Yarrowia lipolytica: one gene and its partners. The protein of the gene in region 3 purifies or fractionates together with the protein of the main gene of each other region. This does not show direct contact. Links are inferred from orthologs where the notes say so. Each region holds a gene or a part of one and is shown on either strand. Other genes may lie near its edges. The genes, in order: YALI1_E30886g, YALI1_E05602g and YALI1_F01291g.

Region 1 (3,663 bases), on a different chromosome or scaffold from region 3:
ACATCTGATCGCCATGCAAAATGTACGATATAATAGATATGAGACAGTCTATTCTCTATTCGTCAGAGCGAGCTATGACTGCTTGTATTTGTAGCTATTTGTACCATAATTCCCATTCCATTGCTCGAGAACCAATAATGTCCACCACAATACAACTCTACCGAGAGTTGCCACCACTCCTTGCCATAAATGAGAACAAGCACAACCCTGCAGCAAGCTATCAACGCGTGCCCATTTTAGCACGAAAAAAGGACCACTTTCAATTTCATAATTCGGAAAAATTATCAGCCCTCGGAATAACGTCAAGCGAAATGAAAAATGAGTAGGAACGAAAAAGCATGCGCCTTTTCTTGACTCCTTAGGAACGTAAAGCTAGAAAATAGCCCAATTGCCTTGCTCAAATCGAAACAAAGATGACCCCCACGAAGCAAGATACAGTCAAGGCCTAGACCCCCCACCTGCATTACAACCGAAAGTGGTCAATTGACGTGGCTACATTGCATTAGCGAAGGCTACAGCACAGTGTACAGTTGCACAGGTTTATCCATGAATAATCAATTGCTCATATATCGTCCCCATTCTAACATCATCTTTTATACATAACTTACAAGGTGTTCTTGGCGTTGAAAACCTCAAAGGCAGAGTCGAGTCGCTTGGCCATGGTCTTCTCACCCTCTCGGACCCAGACACGGGGGTCGAAGTACTTCTTGTTGGGCTTGTCATCACCCTCGGGGTTGCCGACCTGCTGCATGAGGTAGTCCTTCTTGGAGAGAATGTAGTCTCTGATACCAACAAGGTAAGCGTACTGCAGATCAGTATCGAGGTTGACCTTGACAACACCGTTATCAATGGCAATCTTGTAGTCGGAGTCGGAAGAACCGGATCCACCGTGGAAGACGAGGAAGAGAGGCTTTCCGTTGCCGTGCTTCTCGGGAGAGCCAACCTTCTCGGCGGAGTAAGCCTGGTGCTTCTCGAGGAGCTCGGGGTGCAGCTTGACGTTGCCGACCTTGTAGACACCGTGCACGTTACCGAAGGCAGCGGCAATGGAGAAGTTGGGGGAGATGGGAGCGAGGGCGGAGTAGACGGCGTAAATGTCCTCGGGCTGGGTGTAGAGCTTGGAGTTGTCGACACCAGTGTTGTCAACACCATCCTCCTCACCTCCGGTGACACCAATCTCCATCTCGAGCCACTGGTTCATCTTGGCGGCTCGCTTGAAGTACTCGGCGGTGGTGGCGATGTTCTCGGGGTGCTCCTCCTCGGAGAGATCCACCATGTGTGAAGAGAAGAGGGGCTCACCGTGAGTCTTGAAGTACTCCTCATCGGCGTCGAGCATACCGTCGAGCCAGGGGAGCAGCTTTCGGGCACAGTGGTCGGTGTGGACGATGACGGGAATGCCGTAAACGGGAGCAATGGTTCGGATGAACTGGGCAGCGGCAATGGCTCCCTGGATGGAGGCGGTCTGATCCTTGTTGTCGACACCCTTGCCAGCAAAGTAGGCAGCGCCACCCTGGGACATCTGGATGATGACGGGGGACTTGTTGGCTCGGGCAGACTCAAGAACGGCGACAACGGTGGACGAAGAGGTCACGTTGACGGCGGGGAGGGCGAACTTGTGCTCTCGGGCGTACTCGAAGAGCTGGGTTAGTTTGTGTAGAGAGTGTGTGTTGCTAGCGACTTTCGGATTGTGTCATTACACAAAACGCGTCGTCTCGACACTGATCTTGTCGTGGATACTCACGGCTCGGACATCGTCGCCGACGATGACACCGGACTTTCGCTTAAGGACGTCAGTAACAGGCATTGTGTGATGTGTAGTTTAGATTTCGAATCTGTGGGGAAAGAAAGGAAAAAAGAGACTGGCAACCGATTGGGAGAGCCACTGTTTATATATACCCTAGACAAGCCCCCCGCTTGTAAGATGTTGGTCAATGTAAACCAGTATTAAGGTTGGCAAGTGCAGGAGAAGCAAGGTGTGGGTACCGAGCAATGGAAATGTGCGGAAGGCAAAAAAATGAGGCCACGGCCTATTGTCGGGGCTATATCCAGGGGGCGATTGAAGTACACTAACATGACATGTGTCCACAGACCCTCAATCTGGCCTGATGAGCCAAATCCATACGCGCTTTCGCAGCTCTAAAGGCTATAACAAGTCACACCACCCTGCTCGACCTCAGCGCCTTCACTTTTTGCTAAGACAAACTGTACACGCTGTTCCAGCGTTTTCTGCCTGCACCTGGTGGGACATTTGGTGCAACCTAAAGTGCTCGGAACCTCTGTGGTGTCCAGATCAGCGCAGCAGTTCCGAGGTAGTTTTGAGGCCCTTAGATGATGCAATGGTGTCAGTCGCTGGATCACGAGTCTTAATGGCAGTATTCGTTCTTATTTGTGCCATTGAGCCCCGTTATCCTCGTATCTTCTACCCCCCATCCCATCCCTTTGTTGGTGCAACCCTACCCATTTATTGTTGGGTGCAGCCCAACCGACGTGGAGAGCTTGGCTTGGCCATATAAAAAGGCCCCCCCCTAGTGGCAATGGCAGAAAGTCAGCTGTGAGTTGTTGAATTTGTCATCTAGGCGGCCTGGCCGTCTTCTCCGGGGCAATTGTTCCTCTATAGTACTGCGTACACTGTTGTTGCTACGTACGCACTCATTACTTAGACTCCATACATCCGTCAAGCAGCCGCGCAGTTGTAATTACTGTACATACATTTCTGTAGTAAGGGCGCTGACAACGGTCCTCGATGATCCTGGAATGGTCTGTTAGTTACTCGTTCGTTAATTTCTTCAACGGCGGCATCTCTAGCTCCAAACGAGTAATATCTCTCTGCTGTAGCACACTCTCTCTACCACGCGCACGCGCCAGGCACGCCTCAGCCCCCTGCCCAATCACCGACACCGGAAGCTCTGTTCCGATCCTTTTTCGTTGTTCCGACACCAACCTTGTTACGTGGAATCTGACAGAAGTTTACCCCACAAGGTGTTGGAGGAGAATGTATGTCATTCTGGAGACGTTCATTGAGAGGAGAAATGAGTACTCAACATATGTGGCCCAACCCGTGGCAATTGCCTCAATTCTAAACGCCCATTCACCCGTGGAATGCACCCGGAAATACTAGTACCATACCCCGCAACTTGTCTCGGCCTAGATGTGCGTTTATACTTTGAAACCGTGCGTTTTTCTGCAAGAGAAACCCCATGTGTGCCTTGAAATGAATGATTGCTGCGGTACTCGTAGATAATTGTGCGATGGCTCTTGAACTTTGCTTAGTGGCGTATCTAGCGGCTTGGTGGGGAATATTACGGCCCAGAGATACCTGTACTGCTGCCATTACTAATAAAATTAAGAAACAGTCTAGACTGTCTGGCGGAGAGCCTAACCTCATATTCAGAGTTAGGTGTCTAATATTGGAGTTGCATGGTGTGCTGGTTGGGACTTTCCCTAACAGAGAGTCTACAGTATCGTACAAGTAGGAAATCAGCTGGCGCTGGTTCTACCCCAGGAGTACAAGTACAAGTAGACTACAAGTATCGTACTTGTATGTATTCTACTTATACCGGGTTGATCATGAGGTTGCGGCGATAGAGATCGTACCAGTACAACCACGCGGCGGTACAAGCTGACCTCCACGACAGCTGACCTCCACGGCAGCTACTGAGTCAGCCA
Region 2 (3,326 bases), on a different chromosome or scaffold from region 3:
CTGGAAGTCCAACTTCGAATCTCTTTTTGGTGGAGTCATACAAGGAAGATGTTCACTACATTTACCTCCTGACCAGCTCTCTAAATTCCCCCCTGCCTCATTATAAGCTTGTTCTGTCAGTCAGCCATATTTCTCGAACGCAGAAGAATGGCAATTTGAGAGGAAAACAGTGGTGGCATCACCGCATTCTAACTTTTGGAGACAACCTGGTCATATTCAAAGAGGGTAGGCTCGCATCGTGGAGAATAATCTACGATTGCTCTACTGATTCAGTCAAGGCTTACTTGATCCCCGAAAAGTATGGGTTCGTTGCCGACGTACACCCTGTTCAGTTTGGCAAACACCTGGTCTTCTCCAGAGGTGTGCTAGACATGTCTACCTTTCAATTCTGCACGGTACCCGTGGGCCAGAATGATCGAAAGAAGATTGTCTGGCACAAGAGAAACGGCGTTTTGGTTGGGTCCACTGTAAACAGCCTCTCGTTCCAGTGCTTCTACCTCGGAGATCCCTCTGAGGTCTAGCTACCCCGGTCACCTATATTTATTTTGCTTATTCGCCATATCATCTAATCATTACCTCATCCTGTATTGTATCGTAGTTTATATGCCTATCTATTGTATAATTTCGTGCCAATGGAAGCTGGGGATTGCCTAATCAAAAGGCAAAACACCGGAACCACGCAGTTTGCGCAGATCTCCAGGTTTCTGGCTCATCTCAGAGGCTGCAATGGCACTGGGCACCTTGATTCCACAACAGTCAGCCCAATGGTTGTGAATGTGCTGCACTTCAGCATTGGGATCAGGAGGAGGTGACACCCCCTCAGGAGCCTTGATCAGCTGACCGAACATGAAATGCTGGAGAATGGGGAGCTTGCTCAGAACCTCAGCGTCGTACATCTTAACCATACCCTGGTTCACCTTGGCCCAGGTCTTGACTCCGGAGATGTCATCCAGCATGGGGGAATGCCATCTCAGAGAAGCAGTGGTCTTGACACTGTTGATGAAGTGGATGCAACCCATGTACAGATACTCATGCTTCCACATATCCAACATCTCCATGTCGTGGATGGATAACGGCCGCAGGTACTTGTGGCATGCAAGCTGGGCAGATCCAAACATGAAGGGTAGGAAGTGGTAGTCATCGAGACCCCAGACACCATGAGAGCCTGCAGGCTCCAGCCAATAGCTTGCTTGAACAGCACGCATGGTCTTAAGATACTGGACAAACACCGTCAAAACTGCTGCAGAGGAATCAGTCTCATCTTCCACACACTTGGCATTCTTGGCCTCTCCTGTTGGATCGTGCACCTCAGGATTGTACTCTGGCACATCAAGCAGACCCAGCTGCCTCAGACAGAAGAGGAAACAGATAAAGTTGAGCTCGTGGCCAGATCCGAAATCAATTCGCGTTCGGTCACCAAAAGAGGCAGCGAAATATGTACAGAGCTCCACGAGCTGCCAGTCCTCCAACTCTCCCAAATCCGAGATCCAGTCCTTGGCGTTCTCCTCCAGAGCCTGATGGAAATCTCTGAACTCAGGTTTTCCGAACCGTGACGACGTAGCATCTTCAGGCGGATACTTGGCGACAAGATCAATCACCTTGTCGAGAATGGCCACCAATTTGCCAATGATTGGGTGCTTCAGCGTCTCGTATGAGTTGCCCTTGCCCACCACATAGTAGTTGAGCACCTTCACGAACCCAAACACTTGCTTTTTTGTGTCACTGGCGCCAAATATTTCCAGATCTTTGGGCGACAGAATTCGCCGTACCGGGTGTGAGTGTGACATGTTGATAAAATTGTGCGCTGTGTTGAAGTGGTACTGTAGTGCTGTCTAAGTATCGCGATGCCGATTATTCTGTGTGGTTATGCAAGGTAAAAACCTTACTCCAACGCCCCCCAGGACGACCGTTGATATTAAGCTACAGTGCGTGTAAGGTTGGACCCCAACCCCCGTGACACAGCACTTTTCTCCTCCCAACTGACGCATGTGATATATTACTGTACCTATGGCTTGCATCGCATGAAATCTCTACCTCGGATCTCCACCGTCAACGTCTGGTTTTTCGTCGCAACCTCTCTGAGCTATCTCGTTACCGCCGCATTTCTGTTATTTGTCTTCTGCGTCACATTTGTGTCTCTTAAGCTCGCTCTTGCCGCCCTAGCCATCGCCCTAACATCTACTCAAGCACAATCATACGCTCTGAAAATGGCCTCCCAGAAACGACTCATCAAGGAGCTGGCAGCATACAAGAAAGACCCCAATCCTTGCCTAGCATCGCTCACAGCCGACGGCGATAATCTCTACAAATGGACTGCCGTCATGAGAGGAACCGAGGGCACTGCATATGAAAACGGTCTCTGGCAGGTGGAAATCAACATCCCCGAAAACTACCCGCTACAGCCACCGACCATGTTTTTCCGAACGAAAATCTGCCACCCAAACATCCACTTTGAAACCGGAGAGGTGTGCATTGACGTTCTCAAGACGCAGTGGTCCCCAGCATGGACCATCTCTTCTGCATGCACCGCAGTGTCGGCCATGCTATCTCTGCCAGAACCAGATTCGCCTCTTAACATTGACGCAGCCAATCTCGTGCGATGTGGCGACGAAAGCGCCATGGAAGGTCTGGTTCGATATTACGTCAACAAGTATGCATCGGGAAACTAGAGTAGTTGGTACAAAACGTCGTAATAAATCAATAAGTTATATGAGTTAGTGGGAACTGGACTCTAATGTTCCCAGTATGATATAGCGGGGTTCATTCTAGAATATAAGTGAGACACAAAATCGGCGCTCAAAAAAGCGTTCAGTAGGAGTCATCCTCCTCTTCTTCTGGCTCCTGCTTCCGCTGCTGCTGCCGCTTGAAGTCAACCTTCATCTTGACGTCCCAAAACTTTCGGGTAACGTCACTGAGAGGCCGGAAGGGCACCATCTGCTGGAGCATTTCCTGGGGAATGAGGTCCATGTCTGAGTGCGTCTGCTGTCGCAGCACAGACTTGAGCCACAGCGAATTTTCGGCCTTGGGAACCTGTCGCTGGTTTCGGAACTTGTACACCTTGCTGGGGATCTCTCTCTTTCGGTCGTCCAGGCTCAGCAGCAGAGGCTGCATGTGTGAGGCGAGCGCCTTGTGGAGGAAAATCTCGTTCATGGACTCTCCGGTGTGTTCCTTGACGGTGAAGGGGTGTGGCTGGATGCCGAGAATGCGGGTGGGGGACGAAGTGTTGCCACTCTGGTGTCGCGAGAAGTTTGGGGTGAAGTGGCTACGACTGAACATGTAAGGGTTGTTCTCGTATGGAGGAGCTGGTGCCGAGGGGGCAGGCGAAG
Region 3 (4,183 bases):
AAAACAAAACGGCTGAAACAGAAACATGTAGCCGAGACGCTCCAAACACAGATAATTGATCCTTACTGTAGACTGCAATACGAGCTGGGTGCGTGCGCAACGGTGTGGGAACTCGACAAGATGAGGGGACAACTTAGTGCTGCACCTCTCTTGATGTGCGTTCGGCACGAGTTCATGTACTGTACGATGGGTACGAGAAGCGAGGAGTCTACAATGTCGGTTAATTGACTCTCTCAAGAGAGTACTGTACGATTCAAGTGCACTAGAGTAATCGTACCCTTGGGCATGTTAACAATAGGCACCCGTCCTGAACAGGTTCTGTACAGGTACGAGTTGGTACAAAGAGTAGCGTCTAGCGTCTAGCCCTGTTGTTCGGTATACACGGGTAACTTACATTCCTGAAGAACTATCTATAAGTAGCCTCCTACATACTCGCATCACCCACTTCAACCAGAGCCGTATTAAAACCGTTTACTTTCTCTTCTCAAAGTAAAGGCTACAGGGCTCTTGCAAGCGGCCTCTCACTACCGCGCGTCCGTTTATACTCATTAACTATTCATCTAATTCATGTCCACAGCCCGTCTCCTACCCTATGCGTGAGCCTTCTTGATTTCGGCAATGTCCTCCAGAGCCTTGGTGGAAAAGTAGCGCACGTCCACATCGCCGTCGGTGGAAAGCCGCTCCAGGTGGGGGATCACGGTCGATGTGCAAATCTCCTCAATCACCTCAGGCGAGCTGATCTTCTCCTCGTGCAGAGCCCGCACCAACTCTGTGTACGTCTTGGCCACATTGAAACGGATGTTGGGGATGGGGTCGTTGATGAGCTCGGCAATGAACGGCAGAATGGATGTCTTGATCATCGACTCGTCCACCACGGGGATGAGTGTGGTCACGGCACAGAGGGCCGTGAGTCGGTACAGGTAGTTGGAATCCGCAGCAACGACGATAATGTGGGGCAGAATCTCGTCCTTGGCCCAGTCCACACCAAACACCTTGGTCAGCTTCTTGAGGTTCTGTGTGGCGGCCTCTCGAATCGAGTAGACGCTGTCCCACAGCCAGGTCATGCACAGGGGACCCAGCTCCTTGTCGAAGAAGGAGACGCCCAGCTGTGTGGCCAGCAGAGGGATGTACTCGATGATGGCCAGGCGCACTCGCCACTGCTTGTCCTGCGCGAGATCCGAGACTGCAGGAAGCAGACTCTGGCTCAGTAGATCAATACCAATCACCTTGTTGACCAGATGAAGCTTGGAAATAATGTTGAGCCGCACATCGGGGAAGTCATCCTTGAGCATCTGCAGAAATGTAGGCAGCAGAGTCTCAATTGTCTTCTCCTTGCCGAGCAGCGGTGCCAGGGCCGAGATCTCGGAGCCCAGAGCAGCCCGCACGTGCTGGGACGAGTCCTGAGATAGTTCCTCGACGTTGGCAACAATCTTGTCGAGGTTGGCGGGGGTAACGAGCCGGCAGAAGCCAGGCACCTGCTTGGCCACCGCTGTCCGGACCTCAGCCTCGCCGTCCTGCATGAACTTGATGAACTCGGGCACAAAAGCTCGCTCCATCTCGTCCACCTCCGTCTTCTCCACGCCCTCCTCAGGCACCACTGAGGTGAGCGACTCGGCTAGCTTCTCGAACCGGTCGGCGCACATGTATCGCACCCGCCACGAGGGGTCATGGAGCAGTGCGAGAGCAAACTCGATCAGCGAAGACGTGTGCTGCGAGTTGCCCTGTCGCTTGAGCTTCTCGGCCTTGGCAATCAGCACGTTGACCGACAGCAGTCGCACGCTGTCCTGGTCGTCGCCCACCTGTGCCTTGAACATGGAGTAGATTTCGTCGTCGGCCTCAGGAGAATCAGCTTCCGCGGGCAAAGCCTCAATCACTGCAGGCAAGTGGGTGGCGGCAGCTCGACGGACCATGGGGGTGTCATCTCGTGTGAGCTCTCCATACTGCTTGAGAAGCTCGGGAACAGCCTCGGTAGGACAGTGTCGAATGGCAGCAGCATAGAGACCGGTGGCAGAGACCTTGGAGGAAAACCACTCTGCAGAAGAAAGCCGTTTCACCAGAGGCAGGATGGTCTGGGCCACGTGATCACGTGACGGCAATCCCTCACAGATTCGGTTGATGGACTCCACGGCCTTGTCCCGAACAACAGGCTCCTCCATGCAAGACAGGGTCTCTAGAGAGGGGATCAGCAGGTGCGAGTACTCGGGGCCTCCGATGTAGGGAACCAGGTTGGCGAGCTCCTCAGCCAGCACGGTCAGGACCTCGTCCTCGTCCTCCTGTGTGACATCCTCCAGAAAGGGGATGAGTTCGTCACGGCATCGCTCTTGGCGTAGGGCTGCGGCGATGAGCTGCAGTTTTTTCATAGCAGAGATTCGCAGCGAAAACTCGTCGTGTTTGAGCTCGTCCATGAGCAGAGCCAGGGGGTACAGCTCGTCAGGAATGTCAATGTTTTCTTGTTCCATCTGGGTTAGTGGGTGGGACCAGGGGCAGAGCGCGGGCGGCAAGTCTCATGAGTGAGTGGAGCAGATCTGCTATCCCATCAAAACTAATTGCCGTCCTTTTGTGTCACTGTTCCTTCTCCTGCGGTTCTTTCGCCCTCTCATACTCACGTTGATGGCTATGTTGTGTGGTTGTTGTTGTGAAGAGAGTGTGGTGATTGATGGTCACACCCAAGCTCAGTTTAACGTGCATGTCGAGGGTTTGTCGCAACCCTGGCCCTGGTTCGGGGGTCGGGTTTGTGGAAAATTGGGGCCATGTGGGGGTCTGAAAATTATCGAGATTGGTCAGACGGTCCACAATTGTCTAATGATGTGTTTTTTTCACGTCTCTAGCTGTACTACTTTGGCCTCATCAGACAATTGTCTTCTAGTAAACACGTACATGTTTCTCTCGCCGTATAGTTTGATGCACTTTCTCCCAACCTCGACCCGCGAGTGAGCAGTTGGAGTTGCAGTAGCAAGTGAAAAAAGGACTGGGCCCGTCAATTATGAGGAATATTTGGGGCACGAATTATTCAATTGGCTCTTAATCTATAGGCACGAATTACTCAATTGGCTCTTAATCTATAGGTGCACGAAAGTTTTTTCCACTAACAAATTGTCACATTGTCACATTGTCACATTGTCAAATTACCACCCATTATTATCGTGCATGCCGCCATTCCACAGATCACTATAACCTCACAGGTTAGGACTGGCCTGGGGAGATGAGTAGAACCACTTTTGGGGCGATAGAAGGTACATTTGAGGTATTAGAACTTTTATGGTGGTTTCAGATTGCTATTGGTATATCGGCTGCTGACTTTTATTGATTATTTTTTCTCTCCAAATATGATTCTGAGAGACATGTTCTGTTCATATATGTACAGTGTATGTACTATTCAGTCCTAAACACTCTAAATCGATGATGTATAGATAAGTTGGAATAAAAGCTGAGCCGGAAGATTTTGATCTATTCAGAACTCTCAACATCACGAGAACCCCCAGAAATGTACATGTAGATCCGTGCAAGTACCTGTACTCGTAAAAACCCACCTGCTCATGGTCGACAGTCAACCCGCCCATTACCCTACCGTCAGTGTGGTGTTGTGGGAATTGCACCCGAGATGCGAGTGGGGGGAGGTTCAGAGAAGCAAATTAGGCAAGCCAGAAAACATGAATTTTTTAAAAATATGAAGAAAAAAAAAATGAAAACCAAAATTTCAGAGAGAAAAAATAGGCCAGACTCGAATGTGAAACATGTATAAAAATTGCCAAAATCTGCCGGAAAAAAGACACGGGGATTACGTACCATCTAGTCTTCATCATTTCACTGGAATCACCGGCTTTTCTCACACCACTCCGGTCTCTCAGTAGGGTCACATCAGTTGCTGTATCCATGCTACTCACTTATACTCGTACACTATGTACTGTATCGGCACTTATACCTCGTTTAGCAAGGACAACAAATACTAGAGATCTGTTGTTCAGAGAAGAACAGATTTCCCCACGACTTGATATTCAACAACGTCACTGATACAGTCACGTGATTACCACGACGTCGCCATCAGCTCTGAATCTTCTCACTCAACAGCATGCCCACACTCAGGCGGTTCTACGCGATTGATCCCACCCCTTTTCCGGAGCTCAACAAGGATGAAAAGCTAGACGTGCGGGCGATGCAGCGCACGTTCGAGGGCGCGTACTAT

The links.
Region 1: the proteins of YALI1_F01291g (region 3) and YALI1_E30886g purify together in Schizosaccharomyces pombe (affinity purification with mass spectrometry, with the first as the bait; 3 studies listed by BioGRID). This does not show direct contact. The link is inferred for Yarrowia lipolytica from reciprocal best matches to the Schizosaccharomyces pombe genes paa1 and fba1.
Region 2: the proteins of YALI1_F01291g (region 3) and YALI1_E05602g purify together in Schizosaccharomyces pombe (affinity purification with mass spectrometry, with the first as the bait; 3 studies listed by BioGRID). This does not show direct contact. The link is inferred for Yarrowia lipolytica from reciprocal best matches to the Schizosaccharomyces pombe genes paa1 and ypa2.

What each region holds. Positions count from the first base shown.
Region 1 is NC_090774.1:3,086,774-3,090,436, reverse strand, and holds YALI1_E30886g (uncharacterized protein), read right to left. Parts: upstream 1,802-3,663; coding exon 1,739-1,801; intron 1,637-1,738; coding exon 605-1,636; downstream 1-604. UniProt on the Schizosaccharomyces pombe protein: Catalyzes the aldol condensation of dihydroxyacetone phosphate (DHAP or glycerone-phosphate) with glyceraldehyde 3-phosphate (G3P) to form fructose 1,6-bisphosphate (FBP) in gluconeogenesis and the reverse reaction in glycolysis.
Region 2 is NC_090774.1:558,661-561,986, reverse strand, and holds YALI1_E05602g (uncharacterized protein), read right to left. Parts: upstream 1,788-3,326; coding exon 651-1,787; downstream 1-650. Other genes in the region: YALI1_E05630g (uncharacterized protein), read left to right, coding at 1-521; YALI1_E05599g (uncharacterized protein), read left to right, coding at 2,022-2,669; YALI1_E05584g (uncharacterized protein), read right to left, coding at 2,809-3,326.
Region 3 is NC_090775.1:127,424-131,606, reverse strand, and holds YALI1_F01291g (uncharacterized protein), read right to left. Parts: upstream 2,460-4,183; coding exon 591-2,459; downstream 1-590. Other genes in the region: YALI1_F01275g (uncharacterized protein), read left to right, coding at 4,070-4,183. UniProt on the Schizosaccharomyces pombe protein: Phosphatase 2A affects a variety of biological processes in the cell such as transcription, cell cycle progression and cellular morphogenesis, and provides an initial identification of critical substrates for this phosphatase.